Linked DNA regions of Caenorhabditis elegans. The protein of the gene in region 1 purifies or fractionates together with the protein of each later gene. This does not show direct contact. Each region holds a gene or a part of one and is shown on either strand. Other genes may lie near its edges.

Region 1 (9,184 bases):
TTCCCACGCGTTGTCCGGTGGGCGATTGTCAATGGAGCGCGAAAAATTCAATGAGGAAGGCCAGAACCCCGTGACTTTTTTGTTGGAAGATACACGGAAATTTGAGAAAATTAGATTTCTAAAATTAGACTTTCAATTAAATTTTAATTTTTTTTTGTTTACTGAAGATCGAAAATTTGTTTTTTTAGTGCAAAAATTGAAATTTTACATAGAAAAATAGAACATTTGAATTTTTTAAAACAGAACATTGATATTCTGAAATTTTGATTTGTCCCCCAGGAAATATTACGGTAACATAAAATTCTGAAAATGCGTATTTCGCAACATATTTGACACCCAAAATATCTCGCAGCGAAAACTACAGTAATTCTTTAATTTACTACTGTAGGTCGATTTACGGGCGCGATTTTTGCAAATTTATTATTGATAGAATATTAAAATTATGCAAAAAATGAGAAAATATTAAGAAAAAATGAAATGACATATAGCTGTCGCTATTCGAAAATAAATTCATTTCGTAAGTAGAGCCCGTAAATCGACACCAGAGCTACAGTAGTCATTTAAAGAATTACTGTAGTTTTCGCTACGAGATATTTTGCTCGTCAAATATGTTGTGCAATACGCATTCTCAGAATTTTATGTACCAGGAACAAGAAATTACAGTTTTTTTTCTGAACATTTTAAATTTGATTTTTTTCTGGCAGGAAAAAAAAATTGGAAATTTTAATTTTTTTCACAGAACATTATAAATTTGGTCGTTTACAAAATTCAAGAATTGGGTTGAATTTAGGACATTTTTTGAATTTTCCCAAGGTTTCACTTGAAAAATCGGTGCAATTTTGAGCCCACCTTACAGTATATTGAGCCCAAACTAATTGAAAATCGACAAATTCCAGCGCTGGAATCGGCCGTACTGGTGTGTTCATCTGCACGGATAATGTCATATCACGATTTGAATCGGAAGGAATTATCGACATCTTCAGGTATTTCGAATGAAGTGACATTATATTACACACACACACTTTTATTTTATAGCGAAGTGAATCGATCACGGCAGCAGCGGCCAAGTATGGTATACACTGTCAAACAGTACGAATGCATTTATGACATTATCGGAGAATACTTGAGGAACTACCATCAGAAGAAGTAGATTATTATATTACGGAAGCAGAAAATTCTGAGAATGCGTATCGCACAATATATCGTAGCGAAAAAAATTCCAATATTTTTTTGTCTCCTCACAGTTATCCGTAAGCGCAAAAATTTTCAAATCCGTAGGATCACGGGGAGCCGAGATACAGCGCTCCACTGTGGTAGCCTGACCGCGACGCAGACCGCGACGCGCCTCGAAACTTTGAAGGGCTGTAACTTGTCCTCCAGTTGCCGTACAAAGATGAAACTTTTTGGGTTCTAAATCAAATTTACTGTGCAATGTCGTTTTGAACCAAAATATATATTTTTTTAAAAGATTTATTTTTCGAAAAAATTTCAAATTCGGTGTTTTTAATCCAAAATTTTTAAGTTGGGAAATTGATTCAATTTATTAATCAATATATATTTTCACTATTCTTTTTGCACCCCCACTGGGAGCTGAGAAATAGCGCTCCAAAATGATAGCCTGGCCGCGACGCAGACCGCGACGCGCCTTGCAATTTTGAAGGGATGTAACTTGGCTCCCAGAAACTCTAAAGTTCAAAATTTTTCTAGCACTCCTGAAAAGAAATTGACTAGGGTGAACAGTTAACCGTAAATCGACCTACAGTAATCATTTAAAGAATTACTGTAGTTTTCGCTACGAGATATTGTGCGCGTCAAATATGTTGTGCAATACGCATTCTCAGAATTTTCTGCGTCCGTAATACTGTAATGCATGTATTTTTATTAACTTTTAGTGTCAAGGAAAATGTGCATTTTTCTTTCATATTTTACAAACATTCTTCAGCTAAAAAAATATACAATTTTTCTATACAATTTTTTTTGCAAATTAATTGATTTCGAATTCGAATTTAAATTGACAAGCTAGATTTTATGTGGAGAAAATTTGAATAAATAATTTGTTTTCCAATTTTTTGTATTAAAATGTACATTTGAGAAATAACAATTTTCGACTGGAAAAATCAATTAAATTGATTTTTTAAACTCAATTTAGAAGCAAGATATAATTTTTTTAAATTAAAAATGTCTTTATTTTTGAATTTTTATTTTAAAAAATTGAATTAACCCATGAACAATGAATGATAAGAGATCTGAAATGAAAATTATCGATTTTTGAGGCATTTTGAAGAGTATTTACAAATTCAGGTCAGCATAACAATGATAAAAGAGCAAAAAAAAAGATGGCAAGAAATGGATAAAACCTAATACTTTTCGATGGAATACATTTTTTAAAGATTTCCGATTGATTTATGTGATTTTTGTGTTGATTTTCTTTCTGGAACCGAGCATGTTGTTGGGTTACATGCGATTGGAAGTGATGCGGAGCCAATCGACGGAAGTCTGACTCAGCGGCGCGAGAAAGGTGTACCAGATAGTCGTCGCCTGGAATTTCGGGACATTGCTCACAAATTTTGAAAAAAATCAAATTTGCTCATAAGATATAATGGACTAAATGTGCGTTTATTTGGTAATTTAAACAGTTTTTTATAATTGCGCACGTGGTTCCAAACTGTCCCATTTTGGTGTGATCTACAAAAAATGCGGGAGAATTGACCCAGATTTCTCAATTGATTTCGCATGGTTAAGAAAGTGCTGACGTCACATTTTCTTTGGGAAAAAATCCCGCATTTTTGGTAGATCACTCCGAAATGGGGCACTTTGGCACCACGTGTTTGCGCGTAAAATTCGGTGTTTTCTGGTCAATGCACCATATTTTCCACACACAACACAAGTATTTTATCAATGGAGCGCGTTTGTTACCTGTGAACATGAGATCAAAAACACACGCGTCGAAGAACACTCCGATGTTGCCAATGTCTTTGCAGCGATCTGGAAGTAGTTCAATTAGATTTTGTTGAGAGTAAATATTTAGTAAATATTTTTTTTGCGCGTAAAATGTGATGCATCTGTGAAATTTAAATTTCGGAGCATTTCAAAACTCACGGAAATCTGGCTTCCCTCATAAATAGAGATGGAAGAGTTTTTGCGGAACTAGGCCATTTTTGCTCGGCCATATTTGGGGTAGATTTACGGCGCGTTGCGTGTCGCGTCGCGGCTCGGTTTTAGTTCGTGTGGAGTACACTACTTTCCCAGTCCGGCGGGCGATTGTCAATGGAGCGCGAAAAATTCAATGAATTTTTTTTGATAAAAAATTGAAAATTTTTGTATTTCCCGCTGATAATTGACTACTTAATTTTACAAAAAACTCTATTGAAAATTCAAATTGTTGACCAAAAATCTATTCAAAAATTGTTCCAGACAAATAATTCGTTGAAAATTTGAATTTACCATAGAAACTGAATTGAAATATTGAATAAAAATTCAAATTTCCCGCTGAAAATGCACTGAAATCTTGAATGCTGCGCTGAAAATCGATTTAAAAACAAACTGGTGGCCGACAAATTAAGTTAGGTGGCCTAGAATTCCAGAACCCACAGACAGGTTGCTTAGGATACCCCTGGCACAGAATTCTCAGCCACGGCTATCACTTTCTGTTTTTTTTTTCAAAAAAACACGGGCTCCTGACCTTCCTCATTGCATTTTTCGCGCTCCATTGACAATCGCCCGCCGGACAACGTGCGGGAAAGTCGTGTACTCCACACGGACAAATGCATTGTCAAATGGAGCGCGAAAAACTCAATGAGGAAGGCCAGAACCCCGTGATATTTCCAAGATTAATTTTAAAAAACCGTAAATTGGCAAAACTTTTTGCTCACTTAAGAAGGTAGTCTCTAAAATTTGAAAAAAAAACGTTTTTTGCGCGTCAAATCCAACATACCTTCCGCAACCTTTTTCGGCACATGAACCCGTCTCCTGTAGCACTCTGCAAACTTTTTCGTCATCTCAACAGCAAGCTCTGCAGGTATCCGTGAGCTTTTCCTACATCCCGACCAACAAAGCTCCCTGGCCACGTCTCCTCCAGTTTCCAGAACAATCGTCGGCGCCCGAACAGAAACCGATAGATAAGGTCCTTGACGGCGAATGTGAATCGACGAATGAATAAAATGAAGCGCTATTTCCACGTAGTTATCATCTTGCCACAGTACCTCTACCGAATGTTTTGACGTCATCTGGAACGTGGTGCCATCCACAAATCCACGTGGCAAGCCCTCTTCATCCGAGCTCGCCTCATAGCGGAGGGAAGCCGTGCAGTTGTGCTTTCTCACGAGAACAGTAACCTTCGTTACTGTAGTCGTTAGCGCTTCGCCTCGAACATTTCTATTAGTGACTTGAACTAGAAAATATCGATTATCCACCAGAGGACGGGCTCCCTCCTCCGAGCAAGTTTGCACGGAGCCATTGAACATTATTAGGTGAGGATCCCCGAAAAGGCTGCAGTACTTGAGTTTCCGGTTCGATGGAGGTGGATTGAAATAGCATCTGGAACAGAATAAGTTGTTTGTGATACGAAAAAATTAACAGAGATTTCAAAAAATTAGGTCTTCCCCGCCAAACTGTGTCCCCTGAATATTTGAACTTCGCAGCTAAATTTTTCTCAGATAATTCAAACTTCCCGCCACAAATGTGTCCTCTGAAAATTTGAATTTCCAGCAATAACATTTTTTTTTCAGAAAATTCAAATTTCCCGCCAAAAATATTTCCTCTGAAGATTTGAATTTCCCGCCAAAATGTTTTCTCACAGAATAAGAATTTGGCACCAAATGTTTTCTGAGAGAATTTGAATTTCCCGCCAAAAGGTTTTATTAAAAAAAAAAAAGAATTTCCCGCCAAAAGGTTTTATGAAAAAATTTGAATTTCCCGCCAAAAGGTTTTATGAAAAAATTTGAATTTCCCGCCAAAAGGTTTTATGAAAAAATTTGAATTTCCCGCCATTTTTCTTAGAATATTTCAATTTCCCGCATTTTTTTTGCAAAGTGTTCCCAGAAAGTATGAATTTTGCGCCTAAATTTTTCTTTCAAAAAATTTGATTTTCCCTTTAAAATGTTTTCTCACAGAATTTGAATTTGGCGCCAAAACATTTTTTCTCACACAATTTGAATTTCGCCACTTTTTGTCAGGCTGTCGCATTGCGATTTGATCTACAAAAAATGCGGGAATTTTTTTCCCAGAAAAATGTGGCGTCAGCACGTTCTTAACCAAGCTAAATCAGTTGAAAGTCTGGGTCTCAACTCCCGCATCTTTCGAAGATCAAACCAAAATGGGACACTTTGACACCACGTGTTCACAGAATTCTAATTTAGCGCCTAAATTTTTTTTTGTCAAATTTGAATTTCCCACTAAAAAAAATTTCCCAGAAAATTAGAATTTCGCGCCTAAACTTTAAATTTTTTGTTTTTCACAGTTGACTCACGTATTAACATGTTTCCTCTTCACATGACTATTATCATTACACGATTCCCACTTCTCACACTCGAACTCCTTCCAGTGCCGTCTCATAATTAATTCCGATGAATGAAATCGAAGATTACCATGACAATATCGTTGAGTATCATTCATACATTTTAAATAAGTCTGAAGAACTTGACAATATCGTTCGGTGGCTTTTGGCACCAGGTTTTCGTAGTCTTTTGTCTTTTGGAACCATGCTGCACATTCTTCGACACGACACGATGTGATGGGTTCTGGAAAGTGTTTTGATGTAATTTTCAAAATTACTAAAAATTTCGAATTTTTTTTCCAAATTTTTTCTTAAATTTAATAATTTTTTCAAAGGTTAATTGAAATTTAAAAAAAACTCTACTGTTGACATTAATTAATCGATCTTTGAATTTTGCAAAAAATTTTGTCGCACAGAAAGTGGGGCGGAGCGTAACTTTTGCAACACTGCCGCACGATGTTTTTCTCCGTTTTTTTTTCGAATGAAAATGTTGATGTTATCCAATTCGCAAAAAAAGAAAAAAAAACAGAAAAATTGAAACCGTGCGGCAGTGTTGCAAAAGTTACGCTCCGCCCCACTTTCTGGGCAACAAAAATTTTTGCAAATTTTAAAAATCGATAAATTATTTTGTTTTCAATAGTAAATATCTTTAAAGTAAGATTATGAAATTTGAAAAAATATTGTTCCAAAACTTTAAAAAACCGTTCAGTTTTTTTCAAGTTTGAAAAAAATCCCAAAAATAATATTTTTAGTAATTTATTGTTTAAATTTCAACGATTTTGCAAAAAAAAAAATTTTATTTGTAACGTTTTTGTAATTTTAAGTAAAAAAAGTAAAAATAAAATTTTAGTTTTTAGATACTTTTTTTGCGGAAAATAAATTCCAAAAAAAAAAAAACTCAAATTAAAAACTAAAAAAAAACTTTTCCACCACCATTCAAAAGTTTTAGACTACGTTCCAATATGTGGCCTAGGATTTGCAATTTCTAGGCCACCTCCTCCCTCCCTAGAGGAATTTGTTGTTAAATTTTGACACTTGGCCAAATTACTGCCATTTAAAATACGCGACCTAGGCTTTGCAAAACAATTTTAGGACATCTGGAATATGTAAGACCCCGTTTTACATTATATGACCTAGGTTTTGCAATAACTAGGCCACGGTGCACTGTGGGGTTTTCTAAATAAAATAAACACATCAGATATTTAGCAAATTCTACTCCACAGTATCACACACATTTGGCACCAAATACTGCCTTAAAAACAAATGGCCTAGGTTTTGCAAATACTAGGCCATTAACCCCTCAAAATACTCACTGAAAACTGAAAAAATGAAAGTGATTGAAACGAGATAGACTATTGACATACTCTGTCAAGTCTTCTCATCTCACGGCGGGTATCAAGCAGCTGTACTTCTTTGTGACCTGAAAAACGGAAAAAAGAAAATTCAAAAGTAGAGAAGCATGCACATGATTTACGAGGGGTCATCGATGAAAAATGAAGTAACGAAAAAAAAATGAAAGGGAGCTGTGTGTGTAAGTTTGGTGTCCCAAAAAATCTTTCAATTAAGGATAACGCCTTCAAAATGACGAATCAGATGAACGATTTGAAGTGGCATTGATTGATGATAGCCGGAAATTAATTGAGGTTAAATAGTTTGGGTGATATTAGTACGGTAGCTAAAGTGTACGGTAATTTTTAAAATTCTTTGAGAAAATTTGAATTTCCCGCCAAAAGGTTTTATCAGAAAATTTGATTTTCTCGCCAAAAAATTTATCAGAAAATTTGAATTTCCCGCCAAAAAGTTTTGTCAGATCAAAGTAAGTAAGTAAGTATGTGGTGAAACTAATTTCTGTTATGCCCATTACGTTTGAAACGGGTGTGTGCGGCAAATTTGCCGAATTTGCCGTTTGCCAAAAACGGCAAATTTGAAAAAATGTGGACTTCCCGAATTTGCCGCACACCCCTGGTTTGAAAGTTTCTATAATGATTTGGAACTTTTCAATATCATCAATATCATCAGTTTATCCAATTTTTCCAGAAAATTCCAGAAAACCTTGAGATATTTTGATAAAATCCAATACGGAGCGCTCCATACAGAGATTTTAAAAAAGTTTTTAAAAGTCCAAGCCTAGAAATTGCAGCATAACACGTGGTGTCAGAGTGTCTCATTTCGGCTTGATCTACGTTGATCTACAAAAAATGCGGGAGAAGAGACGCAGTTCTCAACGAATTTCATATGGTTAAGAATGTGCTGACGTCACATATTTTTGGGCAAAAAATTTCCGCATTTTTTGTAGATCAAACCGTGATGGGACAGTCTGGCACCACGTGGCATAACCAGAAGTAAGTATATAAAGTACCTTTGAGTTTTTAAAAGTATTCTAACTATTGTAACAGCAAAAAAAATCATTAGTAAAACGTTTTGGAATGCCCTACGTTACAAAGATTTAATAAATTTTAATAAACCAATCTTATTGGACTGGAGTTGCTGACACATTAAAAGTGTGTAGTGTGAAAAAATTTAAAAAAATTCTTGATTTATTTTTATAAGGTATTGTTTAAGGCAAGTGAGTAATATATGTAAATATATGATTCATTTTTTGAAAATACTGTAACCCCCATAAAGCTTTTATATTGGAAAAAGTTGTTCTAGATAATAGGGATCTAAATAATAAAAAAATATTATATGATCTTAATTGAAAACAAAACATCAAAATCAATAAACACCGTGACTACAGCGCAAAAGAAAAAGAGTTGAAAAGGGAGGAAACAAATCGAAAAGAGTGATAAGAAAAATGGAGGAGCGCGTTAAAGCTGGTCTCCCGTATAGGATGAAGAGCTGTTATGTTTGCTCACTTCCTGTGCATTTACTCTGTTTTTCGGTAGCAAGAGAGGAAGAGTCTACAGGAAGAGAATGGGGTAGAGAGAATATATTTAGGTTGCTGAAAAGGAGAATTTATGTTTTTTTTAGACAAAATACGATTTGAGGTATCTAGTTTTTTTTTCGGGAAGTTTACGGTGGGGTACCGAAATATGGGAAATATTTTCTAAATGAGTCCAAATTTGCCCCTGCCTCCGAATATCTATGTGGAAAAATTCAAAAAAAAATCTCTTAAGCTTGAAATCGCCGAATTTCATTTGTGGCCGCATCAATATTTTTTCAAATGCGCGCCAAAAGAAATTCGCAATGGAGCGCGCTTACATCTCCGTTTATTTATTTATTTTTGCCGAATAAAAATAACAATTTTTTTAAACAAGTTTCAATTGTTTTGGTCCAGTTTTTATCGGTTTTTTTCTCTGAAAAATTGTTTTTTCGACAAAAATTAATGACACTGGTTAAAAATTGAATTCGGCGAAAATAAATAAAATAAACGAAGAAAATCTAACGATGCAAGCGCGCTCCAATGCGAATTTCTTTTGGCGCGCAGTTGAAAAAAGAGACCGGGGCATGCGTGCACAAATTAAATTCGGCGATTTCAAGCTGAAATATAAAATCGGAGAAATTTTTTTGATTTTTCCACATAGATATTCGGAATCAGGGAAAAATTTGGAGTCAATTAAATATATTTTTCAGATTTCGGTACTCCACCTCTAAATCTTTAAAATACTCAAACTGATCCCAATTATTAGGTCTGAAAAAAAATACCGATAATGTTGGAGATCTTTCAACTCATGCTAATCTCCCAATTTG
Region 2 (7,273 bases), 4.0 Mb from region 1:
TGATATGTTCCTTCTTCGGCACTGCTCACTGATTCTATCCATAATGAACCATTTGACATTACTTTTCTGAAATAAAAAACTTAAATATTTAGACAAATTGCATTTAATATGTCTATTTCAAAATTAAGATGTTATCTAGTTGAAGAATTTTCAAATTTATTTTGTTTTTTTCTCTACGTAGAGCTCTACGTACTACAGTATTCTATTATACATTCATACAAACATTTCTTGCGAAAATTCGAAGCAACTATATTGCTATGTTCTCAAATAATTTCAAGTTTTTTCCCAAACTTTTTTCTCTCATTTTTATTGCGATTCCCATCATCGTTGGCAACCATATGGTTGTGGGTCGCTTCCTATCTTTTCCAAGTACTTCTGTGGTGTGCAATTGACAGATGGTCTCAGTGAATGAGTGTGTATGCGCACATTTACGTGTGTGCAACGCGCTCATCACATCTACGAAGGACTACCAGAATTCTCAGACCCTGATTTGTAATACGCACTTTCGTGCTTCATGGAATAAGAAAATAAATATTCGCCGAAGGCTATTTGCTACTAAATGTGAACAAGTTTTCCATTTTGAAAAAGTAAATCCAACTCGGATAAGCTTATCCCTGACCAGTTTCCATTCATACTTTGATGATTCATTTGTATTGAATGAAATTAAAACTGCAAAAATTGTTCAATGCCATTTGCATAGTCTTCAACAGAACCTTGAGCCTGTCAATCAATCGTCTTGACGACATCCACCCATCGTTTCTCAATTTCGATCGAATCACCCACAGTCGCCTCTGATTAATGACCATGACAACAGAAGAACGACTACAGGCCCGGCAAAGACAGCTTCAGGAAAACAATTGTTGACCTAATATTACCTAGCTCTAATGCCAGAATAATAATGGTGACATGGCATTATAGTAGGAGGAGATACATGACAAATGGCAGGAAATTGTCGCGGATACGTCTTTGGCGGGTGGTCTACTTCTGTTGAATGTTGTGAAGGCGAAAATAGTATCTGGTTACACAATATATAGATACTTTGTAAGCTTAAACCAACAACTTTAATATTAACAGAATCTTAAAGTGGTAATTTCAAAGCAAGGAAATTGAAAAATTGGAACATATAGTTAATTGTGTGAACTTTTTTGATTCCAATGTGTTGATTCTGTTCTGATTGTACTTTCGGTTTTAAGCTTAATAACTTTCGGTCTATTTCCGGCAAATTTCATAACATTTCAGTGGCCATTGGAAACTAAAACAACTACAAGTTATGAAATATGCAGAAAAACAATTTCTTGCACAACAAAAGCTTCTCAACAATAGACTCCAATCCTCTCGGTCAAAAGTGTCCTTCCTATGCACATATGCATGAATAAGCCAGGACGAAATTTTATATGTGCATAGAAAGACACATGTAAAAGTCACTACTTCCACTCGCTTGCATGCTCTTGAAGGGATTAGGAATAGAAGAAGGAGAAGAAACAAGTGTATATACACACATTCCGATAGAACGGAGATACACCATCTAAATGAGTTATATGTCTCAATGTCATTTGCATATTTTCGAAACTTTGACGAGAATCCACAAAGGAGTCCTTGTGAAGAATGTGAGCATCCGATTTTATTGGTGAAATAAGTTAAGAGTGTTCAAACAACCATATACTTGGAAAGAAGGTTAAAGATTACAAGATAGCACAATTGATATCTTTTTTTTAACGAAAAAGTCAGCTTCAACCCAATTTAAAAGTGTGAGCTTTTTCTACCGAGGTTAAAAGTGCAGTAGGGATATTGTTTAAAACTGATTTTATACTCAAAATGTCCAAATATCGTAACAAAAATTTCAAAATATTTTGACATGTTTTTTGAAATCATAATTTTGGAAGTCGATCAAAAAAATGTTTTTTCTCTACTAGTTTCATATTTTAATTATGTTTCAATTTTTCGTATGTAAAAATTCTAGGAGTTCGCCTATAACAATTACCTAAAAGTCCACATTTTTGCAAAATTTGCCAAACGAATGACGGTGAATATTGAAAAATCTAATTTTTTTTAAAAACTATTATAAGTGTATTGACACTGAACATCAATTTAAATCGAAAAAATTTTAAACCGAACAAATAGTTGTAAAAAAACTCACATTCTAGAAGATGTCCGTTCACTGAGCAACACACCATCACGTTTCCATTCAATTCGGACATCGTGTACAAGTCTCTCATGAGCCAGAACATAACTACATTCTAATAAATGAGACGATGATTCCATAACAGTCACATTCCGTCGTGGTTCCATTACGAATTGAAAGCCAAGATTCCGAGCATCTGAAAATAAGGTTTTATAAAGGATTTCCTTCAGAAAGTCATTCGTATTGTTTTTTTTATCGAGAATCTTATGACCATTTATATTCCGAGAAAGGTTTACGAAACGTATACTATTATAATAATAACCATTCATTTTTCTTCCTCAGTCATTATTCCATACGTTCTCACATGCTCGATAAATTCTTTTGTGATACATGCGGCATCGTAGAACCTTTATTTTATGAATTCACGGAAAAAAATGCAGTTAAAAACCGAAAAAGTCCTTATCAATTGGGGAATACTGTAAAATGCCACTTATCGCGTCTAATTTTTTTGTTGATATTTTTCTGTACCTTACTAGTTAAACTAAATTATCCTTATTTTTTTCCAGAATTAAAACATATTTTCACAACTGATTTATTATTTTGTAGCTTTCTCAGTCTTCAACCTTGACCATTCCGAAATAACAATAAACCCAAAGCGTCCTTCTTTCTCTTCCGCCGCTCAAAAATTGGAGCCAATTAGTTCACATTTTCGTAAATGTTTAGAAACAGAACTTTGCTACTCATCAATAAGAAATCATCATCATTTAAATGATGAATGAATGTATTCCCGGAGCATTATGCAATCAAGGGAACACCATCAACTGAAGACCCGTGTCCCTCATATTGCCTCATCCATCAATTGAAATCGAAAGGGGATGGAAGAGAAAGATTTGTGTGGTGGAAGCTAAAGAAGATGATGGCATTTCGTTTTGTGTGTGTGTGTTTGTGTCACAATTCATTCCAAGAGTAAGAAGAAAAGAGAGAGAGAAGACTTCATGTGGAACCATTGGGACCCACACACACAATAATGAAATGAACGAATCTGGTGGATTTTGTGTAGAGATTACAATCTTTCGAACATCAAACGCCTAGAGAATCTGGGGAATTGAGCTATCCACTTTTGGTTTGTAGTGAAAAATGCTACAATTTGGCGTCAAGTTTTCTTTAAAGGTGGTACCCACCGTGGGGTAGTGAAATAAGGCCCCGAGTGACGGAATGAGGCTTCTCAAAAGCGGAGTCAAAATTAACTAAAATTTTAATTTTTCCCTAAACCGCCATAATTTAGAAAACGTTCAAGATGTCTCTCTTCTGGGGACAAAAAAATCGCTGCTCCATCTTTAAGGTGTGAAGGAACTAAAAGATTGCTGAACAACTCTGCTAGATCGGAACTCGAAAATTGAGAATAATTTTGAAAGAAGGTTTTTTCAAAGTAAAACCATTAATTCGACGATAAACTAAGTGTTTTATAGGTAAGAGTATTAAAAAAAACGTAACTTTTCTTGGATTTGTATTATTTTTATGGAGTCAATTTTTTTTAAAAATAGCCACAAGGTAGTTCAGTGCCAAGTATTGACTTTAAGATGATTTTTATTTATATTTTTCTATTTTCAAAATTCCATTCTTGAATCGATAAATTATGTTGCCGGTGACTGACACCTTGACAGAATGCCAGATGGTCATCTTCCTTCCCCCATTTTAATATATTTTTGAATTCAAATGTGAAAAACTCTCACCATTATCAATCGATCGACGATGATGTTTCCGTGTTGTGGCATGAGTAGATGACAGATAAACTGTCAGAATTATAAGAATGAAACCTGAAAATTATAAATAGTAATGAAGTTTTATTTAATTTCCTTTTGTTTTCTTTCAGAGGTTCGGGTTTAGATACTTCGTTTACTACGAAATTATAGGATTTTAATTTTATTTGTATCAACACAAAAGTGATAACAACAATATTTAAAACTTTTCCACGGAGAAATTATTAAAATTGATAAGATAAAAAGATGGAACTCACCGAAATGTCGCAAAATCATTTCTACTGAATGAATTAAATAACTTCTGTCGAATTATCGCATTCTATTGGTGATGCAGAGGGTCTGAAATAAATAATGTTTTTATTTACCTTTGGATTTTTTGAACACATTTTTTGAACACAGAAAAAAAGATGGAAAAGAGGTCGTTAAAAATAATTTTGAATAGAAAATAAATATATTTAACGGAAAAAGAGTCAAAAACAGGGTCGAACGTCGTCAAAAGAGCTCCAGAAGTGTCCAGCTGAAGGGGTGTGGCCTTGTGGAATGGACACTCTCTCGTTTCTCTGCACCCTCTTCATGTTGTTAATGGAAGGATAACTGTCTGCACTCTAACCTCTCAAATGTCGTTGAAAGCGTCGCGTATGCGTCGCGTGTGCGCACTCGAAAATTTCTTTTTAATCGTCTTCGCGCCATTTGCGATTTTAAATTCCTTTATTGATTTTTAATGTAATTTACACTTCTTTCCTTCGAAAATTCAATGTTGGTAAAAGGTTTTTTGCCTTAAAAATATATCAAGTTTAATGCTTAATGCTGCGTTTACTGGCGCGGCCTAAATTTAAACATTTACGATTTTGAATGATTTCTGTAGTTTTGACCTGTGTTATCGATCAATAATTCGGAATTTTTACCAAAACATATTAGGTGCATTTGTCATGTTCTTTTGGTACTTCCAGTAGTTCATTTAGGCGTTTCAAAAGTATTTCGAAAAGTGTCGTTTTTGAAGAATTTTATTTTATCGAGAATTTCTGACACGGCGCAGAAAAATTTCTTCAGTCTCTCTCAGCTTTAGTCTCAATTACGAAACAACTTTTTTCTATTTCAGAAATGTCCGATAAATCCGGAGGGTTTTTCTCATCGGTTGGCCGCTTCTTTTCTGTTGGAGCTAGTGCCACTAAAAGCAAAGACGGCGATAAGTCGAATGATGAAGGTACATCCAATTCGTCTTCAAAATCGTCTCCTTCTGCGTCTCCAGCATTGAAAAATATATTATCCGTAGATAATGAAGCTAAAATAGCTTCAGGTAAGTTTAATCACATTGACTTTCATATCAGTACATGGCACTAGAATTTCAACTCATTATTTTTTAAATTCCAGATGAAACTTCAGTGAATACCTCACAAAACCATCGCATCGGATCACGTCTTCGATACCTCAGTCCGACTGCATTGGATCGGCGTACGAGTGCATCCAATGGCTTAGAGATCGATGTGGACGCTGTTCCAGATATTTTCTTCAGCACTCCTGCGGTTTCCACGGTAAATTTTTAAAGTTGTCTTTTTATTAATGTGTTTTCACAGAAAAATTAGATTAAACCTGTTGATAAATGCTATCGAAATATTTTTTTCCAGAATCGCAAACGTCAACTGACAGAGCTCGACAAGCAGATTCTACCACAATCGTTTCGAAGTGAGAGTGTGAAACGAAGTCGATTCCTGAACAGATCATTACTGGAACCAACTCTTAATAGTTCAATGAATAATGAGAGGAAAATGGATATGACTTGGTGTGGAGAGTTAACTGCTAATCATTCTCCTGCTTCATCTATCACAAATTTCTCACTTTTGAGCCGACGAAGTGGAGCAACTACCAACGGGTCATTAAGTACAAGAACTCAAGAAATTTTCAAAAAGCTTGAAGGTGCAAATACACCCGCGAAAGAAGTTCAGAGAATGTCAATGCTTCGAGCTGGCATTGCTCGACCAGAAAAATGGGGATCGTTTAGCGAGAGCAAGGTTCCAAATGGTTCAGCAACTGGCACACCACCACCTCCATTGAAAAAAGCTGGAGACGCAATTCCATCTCGTATACAGCTCATATCAAAGACTATGGGAATGTCCGCTCGACGTGCTCCTTATTGGACGGATTTAACTAGGAAAAGAACATCGTCGAAAAATGGAGACACTGGATCTTCTGATTCAATGAAATCATTGAACGGAAACTTTGCGACTGCAGAGGTAACCTGGATTTTAAACACTTGAAAAAAAATGATACAAGAATTATGAAAAAGTTTTTCTGGTCAAATTTTCTAAAATTAGACACGAGATTATCACAGTCTAGTATTTATTTTTAAACGTTTCATTGGGAAATTTTCAGAAATTATAACAAACTTAAAATTATGATAATTAAATTATTCGACTTTATCTTAACTTTTTTAAATTTCAGCTGAGCTCCTTGTTTTCACTGGACTTACCAGCTCCAAAGAAGACAGCATCAACTGCATCCACGACCACCATAAACTCGTCAAATAGTCGAAAACAACATGCCTCAATTATGAAGGGACCTGATGGGAAACCAGTTAGTAGAAATACGTTCAAACTCTCTGATGACATTGAAGAAGTTGATGAGGATTCACAGAAACTTCCACCAATTCCAACAACAACTCTGCAGAATCCACAACCTCTGAAATTGGCGCCAGAATATGCACCCAAGCGCGGGTTTTTGGACGATCTCGCGTTCTCATTCACAGCTCCAGTTGATTTAGTTACTGCTGTTGGAACTGCAAAAACCGCAAGTACGGCAAGCTCACATAAAGCATCCGAGTCCAGCAGTGAGAGCAATGCAGAATCGACAGAAAAGCAAACATCTGAAAGCAGTGGAAACGAATCAGATTCCGAAGAATCAGAAGACTCAGAAGTAGACGTCGGTGAGGAGAATGGTAGTGAAGTGAAAGAGTCGCGACCACAAACTTCCGCTGACACTATCTCATCTGCCGGAGGATCCAATCAGAGTTCAAAGGATTCGTCTCCAAAAGTTGCCAAAGATGCAGAACCAGTTGTGGTTGCTCCAGCTCCAGTGGTCGATGCTGGTTCTAAAAAATGGGAATGTCAATCGTGTTTCTGTAGTTGGGATTCTACGGTAAGAAATTTTGATGTTGATACGAGAAAACTCTAAACTGGGTCTACTATGTTTTACTTAAAATTAATAACAAAATTTAGTCTACAGTTTTCGTGGGTTTAGGAAAGCGTGCGCGAAATGTTCCATTTTTTCAACTAAAATAATTGAAGTCGTCACGAGTCTCGCTGAAAAGTACATCATGTGTCTTTAGAGCATAGTCTCACATTTTCAGAAAATTGTCAAGTATAAAAATTCATCGGAAAAGAAACTAAGAAATTGA
Region 3 (7,628 bases), on another chromosome or scaffold:
CAAGTCTCGAAAAAGTGAGACAGCGTGAGGATGAAGTAGTTTGCAGATGGATTCAAGACCATTTTCACCAATTACGAAGTTTTTAAGTCCTTCTGGTAAATCAATCATGCGTCCTGGAGACACATTCTTAATTGTGGAGGCTGTATTCGGGCTAACGTTCCGTTCTCGAAGCAATTCAGTTGGCCCGGGAACTGAATAAAATGGTTGTTCTTGGTCACAATTCCAGAAAAATCCTACCATTTGTTTCTTTTCCAAGCCAATAATAATCTGCCTTTTTATATTTACAAAGAGGAATTTCATGTGGATTTCCATCAACAATAAGTGTCAGACGGACAGCTTCGATTGATGATTCAGGAAGTTGGTACTGAAATAAATTAAATTATAAATTAAATTCTTGTTACTGGTATTTACCGTCAACACGAATACATCATTTCGCTTGATTGTTCCCTTATTTCTGTTGCAGCTCAATTTTGGATCAAACTTCTTTTTAACGCTGACACGTAGCTTGTACTTGACTTCGGGATATTCTGAAAATTGTCATTTGAAATGTGGACGGACGATTGAGTTGTATTCAAGTTGTTAGCACACTCAAAGAACTATTTTCTCGGAGCTCCAGACAGGTTCGAGGCTATAACATCTAGAAACACTGCAACATGGCCAGTCTCGTTACAGCTTATCTTTAATAAATCGTGGCAATCCGTGTTCTTGACATTACAACAGTTCTTCTACGAGAAGAAAGTTTTGAAAAATGTTCGAGAAATCTAAATTGCAAAACTACGTACTACCACGAGTCACAGAGGTAAGCAAAACTAATTGTGCTCCGATAGAGTGAAAGCTTGTCCAACTGTACCAAATCAACGCAAAATTACACTGACAGAGACTAAAGTTTCACAGAGAGTTGCACCAAAATTTGTAGTAGTCCAGAGTCCCAAGAACCAATTCATTCGACGTCAACTCACCAAGTTCTGCACTATTCAAAATGATACTTGATGACCAGATGCGTTGTTCTCCATTGTCACCAGTTGTGATGGGCAAAAGGCCAGCAAATGAGAGTCTGAGACCAGTCCGATCGTGCACAACAAATGGTGTATTGGTTGTGGACATGTGCGTCAAGAGACGTTTCATTTCATTCGGATTTTCTCGCATTTCGGCTTCTTCCGGCGGTGTAGTCATCACTTCGAAATCGTCTTCTTTGCATTTTAACATACTGCGTACGATGTTAATTTTTGATGAAAACGAAATAATCAAAAACTGATTTATTTTTTTCCAATCGTCAATATTTTTTCGTTTTGAAGTTCTTAGTTGGAATGTCACGGAATGAAATAGTGTGGCAGTAAAAATAATATTAGTTTCAAAACAATTCCCTTGCGTATTATTTATTGTCAGGAAAAAATATACATCATGAATCTTTTCCCATTCTTGTTGCCTTGGAGATTTCATTATTTTGTCGTCTTTTTTGGACTTCAATTTTATATTCTTGTTCCAGTACATTACATGTTTATATTCATAATGTGAGAACTTTTAAGCTTCATTGTGTTAAGCTGTAGTTTCAGAACTTTTTATACTTTCGCTTTTTGAAGCTTTCGGCAACCTTTGCCGGGACTGAACTTTCCAAAAACTCATAGAATCCTATAAAGTGTTTTTTTATTCTAAAACACTGGCACTGGTAATTAACTTAAGTATTCAAAACATTAGTTTCATTTTTTCTAAAATTTCTAGAAGCCCAGTATTGTGAATAAACTAAAGTGCCCTCAAAACGTATCATACTATTACAAAATTGATATTTCCGATAAGTGCTCAGAACTCTTTAAAAAATAATATTTGTCGAGTCCCCAGTAAACTATTAATATTTTATAAGTTGGGAACAACAAAGAAGGAAATGTAGAATCAGATTTTCATTGTCAAATAAATATCATTTTTGAATGACCAAAACTCAAAGCTTGTTTCAGATTTTTCAATATTTTCAGTTTTGGCAAATTTCCAAATTTTTAAATACTTCGGAATTCTTGCAAATTTTTGAGCTCTTCTTTGATCAAAAGTAGGATTATTGGTCGACTTTCAAAATTATGATAGGCGAAGCAATATTGTAACTTGTTATTTTGTTACTTTCCCTATTATGATTATTTTCCCCTGTGTTTGCCAAATTTTCCAAAAAAGTAAATTTTTAAGAAATTTCAAACGGTAAACCCCTACAACATTTGAATACAAAAAAATAAAACTCGTAGATTTTTTTTTGCCGACTTCTAGTTCTTCACTAATTTGTGACTATACATAAAAAATTTCAGTTTTTTTTGGTGTTACTATGGTATTGGGACATTTTTGCACTATAAGCATGGTTTCATGATATTTTCTTACTGACGATTTTAATTGTAGTACTATAAAAATTTGTCGTGCCCTTCCGAATCTTGTATTCATCCGGTGCCCAAAAATCGCTAAACTTCAAACGATAGAAACAATGAATAGATATTGAAAAAAAGAAACACCTGGTGCAACCCTCTTTTACATAAATCTAATCCATCTATTTTTCTCAGAAAAATGGCGCCACGCCATTTAATGACCCCGTCATTTTATGGGGTGGCGCGACAGAAAGGCGCCGCACTTCTACCTATTCTCCGGTCATACATATATCCATTTTGGCGCAACTTTTCCGTTCAGATCATTAGTATCATTAGGCGGACAAGTTGTCAAAAAGAACATTAAGTGAATGATGAGATAGTTAAGAGAGATAGTGTACTGATAGAAGAGGCCGTAGATTGAAATATTGTACGAAACGGAGAGGAAACTCGGCAAACAGTCTTTTCATCTCTACCTCTGTCTTTACTCGTTCTATTTTCATGTTTTTCGCAACTGACTTCATTAACAATATATTTTAATCAATTTATTTGCAAATTTCAGATTTAATGAACATCACCTTTATATTTATTCTCATTTTCGGATTTTTCAATACTCAAAAATGCTCAAAAGACTATGATCACTTTGACGATGAAGACTTAGCGTTGAGCATTCCAAAAAATGCAATAGGAGTTCCAAAGGAGTTCAGGTACATGAGTTTTTATATTTTATCAAAAATTCAGTTTTTCTTATCAGGCAACAAGTTTTAAAAGAGATGAAGCTTCGGAACAGACCCAATGATATTTTGAAAAATCGATGTTATTGCAATTATGATCAGTCGATATGTGGAAATAATATGACATGTGTGAAACAAGATGGAGCTGCTTGTTATCATGCCGTTGAAGAGGTAAAATTAACTTGTAGCTCTTGAAAGTTTCCGTTTTATTTTTTGGAATATTTTTACACCATGGAGGTTAGCAACATATGATCTAGGCGTTACCAGTTTTTTAATGAATGGATTTTTCTCATTTCTTGAAACTGACAAATTATAATAATTTTTTTTTTTTGAAAAATCGATGTTATTGCAATTATGATTATTTTCAAAATTATAAAAATAAATTTTAGGTTTATAACAAAGCTGAAAAACGAATGGAAACTCTTCATAAATGGGGATGTGCAACACTGGAAAGAGGAAGTGGAGCTTCACATTTGACGGTGTTTCATCGAGTTTTTTGAAATATTTCACCAGGTGTTTTTCAGTGTAATTCTTGGAGAGCAGCTCACCATTCTCCTAAAAGTATTGGTTGTTGCTATGAAGGTAACTATTGCAATAAGAATTTGATTCCGCCGGCATATGTTCATCATCACAAGGGTGAGTTTTTTTTTAATTTAAATTTTTTAACAGGGACTATTCAGAGAAAGCACTTCAAGAGAAAACTGACAATCCAGAAGACTATGATTCTCCACTGGAAAACATGACACGTGGAGGAAAAATGTTCATAATGGTATTTGCAACAGTCATGTCGGTTTTTGCAGTCATTGGATGTATTTATTTATGTATTACAAGAGCAGGTGAGACAGTTTTTAAATTACTAAATTGATATTTTGTTTCAGAAGAAAAATCTAAAGCCAGAGCCAGAGCCAAGACGGTGTCTCTGAAAACAGAATCAACATACATGGAGAGCAAATCAATGCTCGAAGACTCAGGGTTCGTTTTTATTTCCTAGAGTATTTGCGATATAGAGATATCATACCCATTATTTTGAAAGTGATGTTTTTAACAAATACAATTTTCAGAAGTGGTTCTGGGCAGGCTGCGTTGATCCAAAGGACAGTGAGACAAGATTTAACAATTATTAAAACAATTGGACAGGGAAGGTAAAATTAATTCTTATTTTAATCTTTGTTGCCTATATTTTTTAGATATGGAGAAGTTCGCAAAGCTCTGTATCGTGGAAGTTACGTGGCTGTAAAAACATTCTACACAACTGATGAAGATTCATGGAAAAATGAAAGAGATGTATATCAAACTAACATGATCAATCATGAAAATATCCTTCGTAAGCTATTTCAGTAAAATTACTTTGAATTTCAAGAATTGTTTCAGAATTCGTGGCGGCTGATATTTGGAGTGAGGAAGATTCAATGACAAAGATGCTTCTTATCACTGATTATCATGAACTGGGATCTTTATCAGATTATCTTTGCCGTGAAGAAACATTGACAACAGATGAAGCTCTTCGACTTATTCACAGTTGTATATGTGGTATTGAACATCTACATGCAGCTGTACACGGAACTGGAAGCTTTAGAAAACCTGAAATTGCACATCGAGATATTAAATCAAAGAATATTATAGTCAAACGACCAAATGTGTGTTGTATCGCTGATTTGGGTTTGGCACTACGATAGTGAGTTATTTCAAATGATGCATCTGAAAACCAAAGATTTAGTTGTTCTGAAATTTAGAAAGAATAATGTTTTCAGTCAAAACGACAAAATTCTCCCTGAAAAATTCAATGTTCAAGTTGGAACAAAACGATATATGGCTCCAGAACTGATATCAAACAAGTTGAATCCAAAAGATTTTTCTCAGTTCAAGATGGCAGATATCTACTCAATGGCACTTGTTATGTGGGAAGTTGCAATCAGGGTTGAGGTATGATTATTCAATGAGTTTAAAATAAAGGCCATGATTGTAGGTAAACACCTGTGAGGAAGTGTTAACTGTCGATGAGACCTCTCCTGATCACAGTGCATCAAGTGGTATCGGAGAGTCAGTTAGTTCATCTGGTAATATATCGAGAATGCATCTACAAAAAACAAATGTAGAAGGACATTCTACATCTCTGAAAGCAAAACAACATGTCCCACCATTCGATGGAATCGTGCACAATGATCCCAATTTTGACGAGATGAACGATGTAATTTGTGTACGTCGAATACGTCCACCACCGGATCTTGCCTGGAAAAACGTCCCAGCACTTAATGAATTGAGCAAGTTGATGGAAGACAGTTGGCATTCAATTCCACACTTCCGACATTCTGCTCTTAAATTGAAAAAAGAAATGGCTGAGTTGATCAAAAACCCCGACAGACAGGTAATTCAACACGTTAAGGAGCTATATCTAACTCTATGTTTTCAGAATCAATCGCAGCGTAAAGTTGAATTCCAACAGCAAGACAGTGGCCTTGTTGAGTCAGCCACCAATCAATCTTAACCCACTTTCTGATCTTACTTTCGTTGTACCAAAATTTTTGGCTTCTTTAAAATCAATTTTACTTTTTCAGTTTTGTTCATATTTCCACAACGGTCAAAATTTAAAGCGATCTCTCTAATAATTTCCCATCAATTTTTTAATTGTGCAACTCTTATGAACTTGTTCTCATCTCGATTTACTGCAATTTTTGTGAATAAACATTGTTCCAGACCTGTACGTTCGTGTTGTAATTATGCGACATTATTGTCCATCATTGCCTAATATTTCCTTGATAGATTGCCGATAAGACAAATTCTTAACTTGCGCTCCCTGTGGCAGAAGACGGAGCAAACAAAATTATCAGCTCAACCATGTTTAAATGTACGTTTATTATCTCTCTATCTGAATCTATCTGGATTGGTGTGCACTGCATTTGTGAGCAAATATAGGCATACTTGTACGTGGTTTGATAAGATAATACTGCACCGTTAGACAACTCTTTTGGGTGAAACAAAAGGGAGACAACTGCAAGTTGCATCAGTTGGAACAATGAAACATTAATTCGTTAAAACACAAAGCACATCTGATATCATTTTCACAATTTATTTCGTTTATCACATATTTTAGAAGATCATCCTTTTGTAAAGTTAAAAGTGGATTCATGATATTTTAATTTTGACAAATCTCGACTAGAAAATTTTTAAGGATATCAAATATTTCAAGAAATTTCTGCACTGCAAGTTACGGCAAAATGTCCATCTGTCTGGATTTATTTTGTAGGTGAATCACTTGACTGTAGAAATCGAATATGATGCATGCAACTAAGTCTTTATTTCACAAAGCTTTTTAAAGTATTTTTTCAATTGTAAATTTGATAAATTCAATTTTAACTTCGCACACAAACCAGAAAGATCGGCAAATCAGCGAGATTTATCACGGTGTTTGCAAATCGTTGAATAACCATCAGCGTTTTTATATTGAAATTGAAACTTGTTCTGATACAGTAATTTTCAAAGAACCATCCATGTACAAAGAACCATCCATTGAATTTTTAAGAAATTGTTTCATTATAGTTAATTCCAGTTTAATACGGAATGGAAACAGTTAAGGTTGATTTGTCGAAGCAGGAAATGTATTTTCTTATAGACCTGGCACAATTTTTTTACGGGAGATTTGAAAATTGTGCCAGAAACTTTACAATCTAAGTAGGTCCTTTAATTGTATTCGTTTTTTTTTGTATACTGTCTCTATGATTACATCAAATCCCAGACATCTTGACTCCTTGCGTAGATTTTTGTTGTATAATTCTAAGTCTTAAATTATCAAGGCTCTTGTATTCGATGAGAGTGCCTATCAAGAGAGGAATCAAGTTTTCAAAAAAAGAAGCAAACGTAAATTGGAACTGGGAAAGCTTAAAAAAATATTCTGACTTAAGAGTTTCCCATAAGCAAATTGAAATAATCAATCAAAGAAACATTGTGATTTCTAACAAATGTCTTACAGTATATGATATTTACCCGGAACTCATGATAGCAAAAACTACCGTCAACAAAAATCAGAAGTTGTTTCAAAAACAGTTAACCGATTTCTCAAGTCTTGAACTAGAAAATGTGCATAATATCACGTACTTTGTCATGATTTTATGGCACTCTTCCAGTTCAAGAACAAGCGGTTTTCGAGTAGAATATGAATACGAAGTAATTGTAGATAATAATACAAAGAGCACTGTTATCACCTACACCACAATTCTCTTTTATAGTGACACAAAAGTAGGTGGGCTTATGGAATGGTAGATAGTTGAGACACAGAAAAGATGGTTGCCTATCACCAAATGGGCGGTGTCATCGATAACAATGCAACGTCGGGGGGCGACGGAGCAGTCCACATATAGATCGATACTTTTAATTGGTGTACGAAGGTGCAGCAACGGATTGACAAAGGCTCGTTAAAAATAATATGATTAGTAACGATGAGAACTTTGTGAGGGTGAGGGTCAAAATTGAAGGCTAGATGATTTTTGAGATATTGGGCTCAGTGGGGGATTGAGCCTAATATCTAGTATCTAGATAAGTTCTTTAGCTGGATAATCTAAATGAT
Region 4 (7,048 bases), on another chromosome or scaffold:
AATTCAAAATGTTAGATCGAGCCGGTCAGTAATAATACAATCCGAAAAATCACTGGATTTTTCGTCATTTCCGAGTGATGCTCATCTGTTTCAATTGAGATTTACCTCAATCATCAGAAATTCATCTCAGCTGACATTGAATCCTCATTTCGTTTCCACAGCCCAAGAACAGGTATGATTCCAGTTTTAACATAGTTTTTGTATTTGTCCAATATTTTCCAAAGATCCTTGACATGCAAAAATATTTCTAATTTTCTGATCCGTTTCTGTCAGATGTTTGAAAAATATACATAATTTGCTGAGCTAGTATTCAGAAAGAAATTATTACAGTTAAATTCCAAGTTTCAGAGCAACTCATATTGGAACTTTGAAGTCTCCAAAGCTTTTGTACAGTGGATTGTTCATAAAAATGAATCATTCGAGCAGGTATACCAAACTGCCAAACAGATATATCATACAATTCTTAGTTCCAGGCAATCTTTGAGTTCCGTGTTACTCGACGTCCACCGACTTTCCAACGAATTGGAATGTTCTTATTATTCCTTTTGAATGTTTCCATGATATTTGAATACTTCCCAGTTTCCAGAATATTTTGGAATTTGCCATCGTCGGTTGGTTTAAAATATCATTCTATTCATTTGATGTTTCACATAATTCGAATCAATTTTTTCAGAGATTCTACCTATGTTGTGGTTTTCTTATCAGTCTAGTATCAGCAAGTCAAGGCCCAAAATCTGGGAAATTGACAAGTTTTGGTTTGTTTGAACTGAAAACGTTTTTACCCTACTTTCAAATTGTTTTAGATTATCAACTAATGACACTGCTTTTACTGGAGGTTTTCATTGAAATTCTTCACCAACTACTTCCGTTTTTTATTTTTCACTTGAGGTGCTGTCCGATCGAATCTGATCCAACTCCACCACTATTTCCATCGCCAAGTGATCAATTTAGTCTAGATACAGAGAGATCAAAGTAAGAAATTTTTGAAGATTTCTAGAAAGTCACAATTTCAGATGTAATGCTGCATTGGATTCTGCAAGAGCCGAGTCTATGCGAAGTCCGAGAATTGCAAACTTTGATATGTGCTTGGTGAGTTGTTGTTTGCTCTATTAAAGAATTGTAAACGATAATCATTTTTCATTTATTTTTCATTAGTTTGCATTTATAAGTTTCTTGATATCTACAAAATGAACCGAGATTTAACGTTTTAAAGTAAAGTTGTGGCGTGCCATACTAAAAAAGAAAATACTGTGATCATGATAGTGTTTCTTTTGAAATGACAATTCTCTTGGTATTTTTTCAGGCTGAAGTAAAATTTACAATGTCTACATTCAATGAAGTTCTGAATTTGCATTCTTCTGCAGAATGGAGACGGTGGGTATTCGAAGTAACTGTTTTTTTTAATTTTAATTTTCAGAAAGCTGTGGCTAAACGCCTACCGTCGGTTTGAAATTCTTGCGTTCATAGTTCTCCAAATAATTAATTTTGTACTATTTTCAACTTTCTACCAATAAAAAATTAAGTAAAATATTAAAATCAAATACCAAAATGTTCATTTAAAAAAGAAACAAAAAAGGATCAGTGCATACAGACACAAAAACTATGAGATCAAATATTTTGAATTTGTTTTGTTGTTTTGAACATTCAATTCTAATCGAGTGAAAAATGATGAGAGTGAGAAGAAAAAGAGAGATAGATTTTTTGGAAGAAGAGAATTAGAGAAAACAAGAAAAGAAACTGTCCGTCTTCATAAGAGCTCTTGGTTTGGAAAAAATAGGAGAAAAGGAACATTAGGAAGGAATCACAGAAACATGGACAAACATCGGGGAAGAAAAGGAAAATGTGAATCGAAGACAAGAATAACAAGAGGAAAAACGGTTGAAGGTGAGAAATGAGGACCCGTGACACATTGCACCAAAAAATAAGGAGTTAGTAAAGAAAATGAATGGTAGGGAAAAACAAGGAGATGACAAAAAGTGGTAATGTGCGACGACGATGGCGACATAGAAGCGGGTATCACCGGCACCCGCAAGATTCAACCCGCATGTCGGCATACTCTCTTATCACTATTCTAAAAAATAGATCTTGAAGTAATAAGACATGAAGTGTTTCGATTAACTTACACTTTATCTACATCCATGTAGAGAATCGAAAGAGGGCTCGTTTCAGTAGGCACACAGCAAGGTGGCGGTACCTGAAAAATATTTTAGGGTGAGGAATAAGTTTTGTCGTTTCTTTTCTAGTTTTCTACATGACCTCAAAATAAGTTGTTAGGCATGAACAAATTGAAAAACTCAAACCTATTTTTGTCTCATATTTTTTTCGAACAAGAAAAAATATATGAATAACATCATCTAAATCAATAAAAACCTTCTAAAAACTCACTTCATCAGGTCTCAAAGAGTGTAAAAGTGATTGAATAATAGCGTGATTAGTTGCATTTAACTGAGCTGGCATTGGATTTGGACAAGAGCCTTGACATTGATAAGCATCGTAGCCCTCTGAAATTTGATACGATTTCTCAATTTTTCTTCTAATTATCTTTAATTCTACTTTAAAACAACAATTAAAATACTCACTGGGTGCCATAATCCAGTCTTGCCAATTTAAATCATCAAAATCCACGTAGAAATCAGTCCTCCGACAAAGATTGCTCTCGGCCTCGGTGTTATGATGCTTTCTACCCTACAATAGAATTGATTAACAATTTTTCTACTTTTAAGAAATCACAAACCTTTTTTCGATTTTTTCGTTCGCTGTTGCCTGTTTGTGCACTCCGTTTCCGCCGCACACTGGACGGTTCGGACAGGTCACTGAACACAATAAGCGGAGCACTCTGAGCCCGCGCGTAGGGCAATGAGCTCAGTGAGCTGCTCTGTGTCTCTTCGATCTCCACATCTTCCGGCAAATCGATGAAGAAACTGATACGATTTGTTCGCCGCAAAAAAGCGGCGGTCACATCAAAATCGATCCATTCGGTAAGGTTGTCGACGGATCGAGATTCGATTTGAAATCGATCATTGTTCTGTAGTTTCATATTGTGAGAAAAAAAAATGCTAAATGATTTACATACTATATCATCTTCAAAAAAATAAATACTAATATTGCCGGACCTCCTCGCTTTGTTGTTGCGTCGTAACCGGAGCTGAAAGTGGCAAGTTACAGATGGAAGGTGTTCAAATGAGCATAAGAATAACATTTTCGAAAAAAAAAACAGAATTGAGAAAAACTCACTTTCAAAGTAGCCTTAGTCACTTCTTCATTGTGAGCATTTCGAGCAGCCAATGAGAGGTTATAAGACAACAAGAACCCTTCGTTATCTTCAATAATCTCCTGAAATTTAAGTCTTGGTATTTGGGTATAAGCTAAATCTAAAATCTCACCTTCGGATAATAGTGTCTGACCCAGTCGACATCATTATCATCGTCATAAATATCCCACATGTGTTGTGGAACATCAATGCTCGGACCAGTCTGCACAGGTACGTGCTCGAGTCCCAACTTCCGAAGCAAACCGCGTCGGGTAGCGTGGGACGCGTGTTGATCGGCAGCAGCAGACATTGGTGTGAAGGAGATGAGGAGGAAGAGGTGGAGAATGGCGGACAGTTGGAAGCTGTGAACAAGGGATTTTGTGCTTGAAATCGTTGTAGTTGTCCGCACAGAGTCGTTCATAGTTGAGTTGGGCGCATCAGGCAGCCACTGGACATATCGTAGGGAATGTGGAAACAGATTGGACAAAAAGGGAAACGGGACAGGACAAGGACTTCTATTTGCGGGGGGCTCGCCGATGACGACTCTCCTCTTGTTTAGCGCATAATCAGGCTGAAAAGTCGGACTATTTTTTTTTAAAGATACAATGATTTGAGATACAATGACAGAGAGTAATAGAACCCAAAGAAAACATTATAATTCTGTAAATTATAAAATAAATTTGTAGAAAATTTAAAAGAAAAATGTTCCAGATGTTTTTAAAGATTTTCCGTGTAAAAAAAAAGGATGCAAGTGTAATAGAGAAAGACGGTATCACATTTTTTAAAAATAATTATTGAATGTCCTCTAATAGACAGTTTTTTTTTCAAAGTTTCAAAGTATTTTTTAAACTCATTAAAAAATGCCACTAATTTCTACTACGAATCAAGCTACAATTAAGGAATGGTTGAAACTTGAAATGTTACAATCCTAGAACTTTGGTATATTTTTAAACTTTAGAAACATAATGCAATAAACAATGAATTCTAGCTGTACTTGGATCTAGTCAAGCAACCAGTATGAAAATAAGATTAAAATTGTTTCCAAGAACTGCGTTCAGACATCTAGACTTGTTTTGCAGACTGATGAAAGGACGAGAAGAACAAAAAAGTTCATAAATCCAAAAATGCAAAAGACGGGTTTTCGAAATGCCTCTTGTCAACTTACTACCACTGTTGCTTAAAAAAGCTCAAAAAATGACATATAAATGTGACGTTGAGGGGGAGGAGAGGAACACCCACCAGATTCATCGAGTGGGTGTGAAAAACAATAGCTCCACTTTCAGAAAAAGAGGAAGAAAAATGCAACATAATGTAAAGGATTGAGAAGAATGAAATGAGAGAATCGAATTTCAATGTATAGACACAGTTGGTGAAACTAAAGATGGAAATCAATTGAAAATTGGCAGCGATTTAGAGCCTGAGCAGAACCGTTGGCATATTGTAGACGCCATCTATTTTGGGAACATTCTTCTCATATTTTCGACACATATACACAAATCGCAACAATTCGGCACAGAGGGGGAGGCTGCGGGCGGTGCGCTCAAAAAAAGAAGGCGTTTTTGGTTATGATAAGTTTTGCGCTGCTGCTGCTGCTCAACCCGAGTAAAAAAGTTCCAGAGCACTAATGATGAATTGATCCCGAGGGATTGTGCAAGGTTGCCCCCTTTAACACTCGTCGGCACCGAGCTTGGGAAAGCTTTGAGTTGCAGATTTTGGTTGGTAAACATTTGCAAGAAGACCCCAAAGACGGACATTACAGAAAAAAGTGAGATGAGGGAAGTGAGCGTGAGAAAACTGGAAGGTCTGCAAGATTTGGCAAACAGTATGGTAATCAAGGAGGCTACTGGGAATTATAGAAACGTAAATGTTTGTAATTCAATTTCGCTCATTTCAATTTTCCAATTAATTTGCAAAATTTCACGACAAAAAAATTGTCTGAGTTCATAAAAATGATAGGAAATCTACAGCATTTCCAAATTTGTTTTCTAAACCAGGTTAGCAAGTATTGTAGGATTCAGGTTGCTAAAAACCGTTATCCGATTCCAGGGTAATAAAAAAGACATTTTAAAAGTCTACAAAAATTAACATGCTCATCAACGTTGAGGGGTGTTACCTAAATTTTTCTGAAGCTCTGAGTTCTGAAACTTTGATATAATTTAAACTCAGTTTTAGGTCTTGACAGCATCTAAGAAAAATCTAAGAAAAAATGTTATCAAAAATTCCAGGAAAATTATCTGTATTCAAAAAAAATTTTATACAGATTTCTTGCAAAAGTTCCAGCAACTACTGACAATATTTTTTGGGGAGCGGAACACTCGTTCTCAATATGAGAAAAATACAAAAAAAAACTAGGAACGGAATGTGTGACGAGTAAAAGAAGAATGAAAAAATGAGAAGCCTACATCACATGAGAGCCGACCGGTTGGTCTTCACGGACAGCAAGAAGTTGCTCGCAACTTCAAGAATGTTTTCTTCTCATATCTCGACAATGATATGATATTCGATACGGAGACGGCGGCAACTTCAAACGATAACTAACAATTGTGTTTGCCCCCTGATAGCAAGTTTTCAGATGTTTGTATCCATGACGGATTCACGGATTCCAATATCTGCCTCCGTGCCGACAATATTCTTTATTTAGAACTCTATTTATTGATTTGGATTTGCCGTGAGGCTTTTAAAGTTTGAAATTTCTCCTAGATTCGGGCCAAGCAAAAATGCAAAAATGCGCAACGCTTAAAAAAATTTAATACTGTATTGGCGAGATTCTAAAATCTTACTCTAACTTTTTAACCAAGAAAAACTAATTTTCAAACATCACCGTCTCTCGAAACTCTAGAAGAAAGTTTGAACTACTAGAAAACTGATCGTCAATTTTGTGAACTTTGGCACAGAGTGTATAGTTTTCAAAACAAAAAAAAAACACTAAAAACCGAGGAAAAAAGCAATTGCAGTGTTCATACAGATTGTAATGAATCTCAACGAAATCTCACTTGCTCACGACTTTTTTTTTCGACAAATTCTCTCAAATTACTAGTGCAAGTGTCTCAGCTGGTCGAAAACCGACATAAACAAAACGTCACTTGAAGGTCTTCTAGTCACAAAAATGGTATTTAAGATACGGTAAATTGGATAGGACGGCTCCGGAAACGACATTATGGCGCCAAAGGCATACGGTAGAAAATGGAAGGAGATGTGGTGTGGTGGAAAAGGTCAGTGAGATGAAGTGTTTAAAACAGAGAATGGACAGTTGAATGGATGAATAAATATAATTACAGACGCAAAAAAGTGTAAAAAGAAGACATTATTAGTGTCCTAAGAACGGGATATCTATGTGGTTAAAGATAATTGAGTTATGAACTAGGTCAATCATTTTTTTTTTGCAGATGAATAATAGAATAAATAATTAATATATAGGGTTTTGGAAACGATTTAGCTCATTTTGTCTTAAAATTGTGGGTTTTCCAAAAATGTCTGCTAGCCGAAAAACTTTGAGACTTTCCGAAAATAATTTTTTAAAGTAAATTTTATAGATTTGGAAGAGTAACAGTAATACAAACAGTGGAACTTCTCATTTTTTGTAATTTAGTCAGGTTTTTTTTTCAAAATTGTTAAAACTGCCAATTACCATAATTACAATAATTTTTCATTTCAGAAAAATGCCGAACTTTTCAAAATCTACAATCGGAAAAATTATTGATTGTCGCGCAGGGTTGCTTTTAAAACGGAAAACCTACAACCTTTAGTTGAAAATCAGAAAAATGTATTCCTTGATAATTCTAGTTTTTGAAACTTTAG

What was found.
Region 2: the proteins of drag-1 (region 1) and unc-40 purify together in Caenorhabditis elegans (affinity purification with western blotting, with the first as the bait; one study listed by BioGRID). This does not show direct contact.
Region 3: the proteins of drag-1 (region 1) and sma-6 purify together in Caenorhabditis elegans (affinity purification with western blotting, with the first as the bait; one study listed by BioGRID). This does not show direct contact.
Region 4: the proteins of drag-1 (region 1) and dbl-1 purify together in Caenorhabditis elegans (affinity purification with western blotting, with the first as the bait; one study listed by BioGRID). This does not show direct contact.

Annotation. Positions count from the first base shown.
Region 1 is NC_003279.8:1,678,182-1,687,365, reverse strand, and holds drag-1 (Repulsive guidance molecule B homolog drag-1), read right to left. Parts: upstream 6,921-9,184; 5' UTR 6,857-6,920; coding exon 6,808-6,856; intron 5,739-6,807; coding exon 5,468-5,738; intron 4,537-5,467; coding exon 3,935-4,536; intron 2,986-3,934; coding exon 2,917-2,985; intron 2,539-2,916; coding exon 2,303-2,538; 3' UTR 2,163-2,302; downstream 1-2,162. Other genes in the region: Y71G12B.31 (Tyrosine-protein phosphatase), read left to right, coding at 897-983, 1,036-1,150. UniProt on the Caenorhabditis elegans protein: Probably in association with the cell surface receptor unc-40, positively modulates the BMP-like Sma/Mab signaling pathway through interaction with both the ligand dbl-1 and its type I receptor sma-6.
Region 2 is NC_003279.8:5,687,283-5,694,555, forward strand, and holds the start of unc-40 (Netrin receptor unc-40), read right to left. Parts: upstream 4,222-7,273; 5' UTR 4,159-4,221; coding exon 4,140-4,158; intron 3,940-4,139; coding exon 3,856-3,939; intron 2,319-3,855; coding exon 2,138-2,318; intron 67-2,137; coding exon 1-66. Other genes in the region: npp-7 (RanBP2-type domain-containing protein), read left to right, coding at 4,984-5,179, 5,254-5,414, 5,508-6,113, 6,322-7,014.
Region 3 is NC_003280.10:6,321,589-6,329,216, forward strand, and holds sma-6 (Serine/threonine-protein kinase receptor sma-6), read left to right. Parts: upstream 1-2,895; 5' UTR 2,896-2,900; coding exon 2,901-3,040; intron 3,041-3,087; coding exon 3,088-3,238; intron 3,239-3,456; coding exon 3,457-3,546; intron 3,547-3,591; coding exon 3,592-3,703; intron 3,704-3,747; coding exon 3,748-3,903; intron 3,904-3,945; coding exon 3,946-4,039; intron 4,040-4,128; coding exon 4,129-4,209; intron 4,210-4,254; coding exon 4,255-4,391; intron 4,392-4,438; coding exon 4,439-4,742; intron 4,743-4,818; coding exon 4,819-4,990; intron 4,991-5,033; coding exon 5,034-5,432; intron 5,433-5,477; coding exon 5,478-5,552; 3' UTR 5,553-5,767; downstream 5,768-7,628. Other genes in the region: C32D5.4 (uncharacterized protein), read right to left, coding at 1-191, 238-364, 412-527, 960-1,491.
Region 4 is NC_003283.11:6,754,908-6,761,955, reverse strand, and holds dbl-1 (Protein dbl-1), read right to left. Parts: upstream 3,822-7,048; 5' UTR 3,672-3,821; coding exon 3,384-3,671; intron 3,334-3,383; coding exon 3,235-3,333; intron 3,146-3,234; coding exon 3,074-3,145; intron 3,026-3,073; coding exon 2,735-3,025; intron 2,686-2,734; coding exon 2,580-2,685; intron 2,502-2,579; coding exon 2,386-2,501; intron 2,195-2,385; coding exon 2,124-2,194; intron 2,072-2,123; coding exon 2,017-2,071; 3' UTR 1,538-2,016; downstream 1-1,537. Other genes in the region: T25F10.4 (Neur_chan_LBD domain-containing protein), read left to right, coding at 1-172, 349-426, 474-611, 674-755, 804-972, 1,014-1,089, 1,304-1,374, 1,418-1,514. UniProt on the Caenorhabditis elegans protein: Ligand for the serine/threonine-protein kinase receptor type-1 sma-6 which activates a TGF-beta-like signaling pathway. Multifunctional protein that is involved in body size, male ectodermal patterning, innate immunity, lipid metabolism and neural plasticity.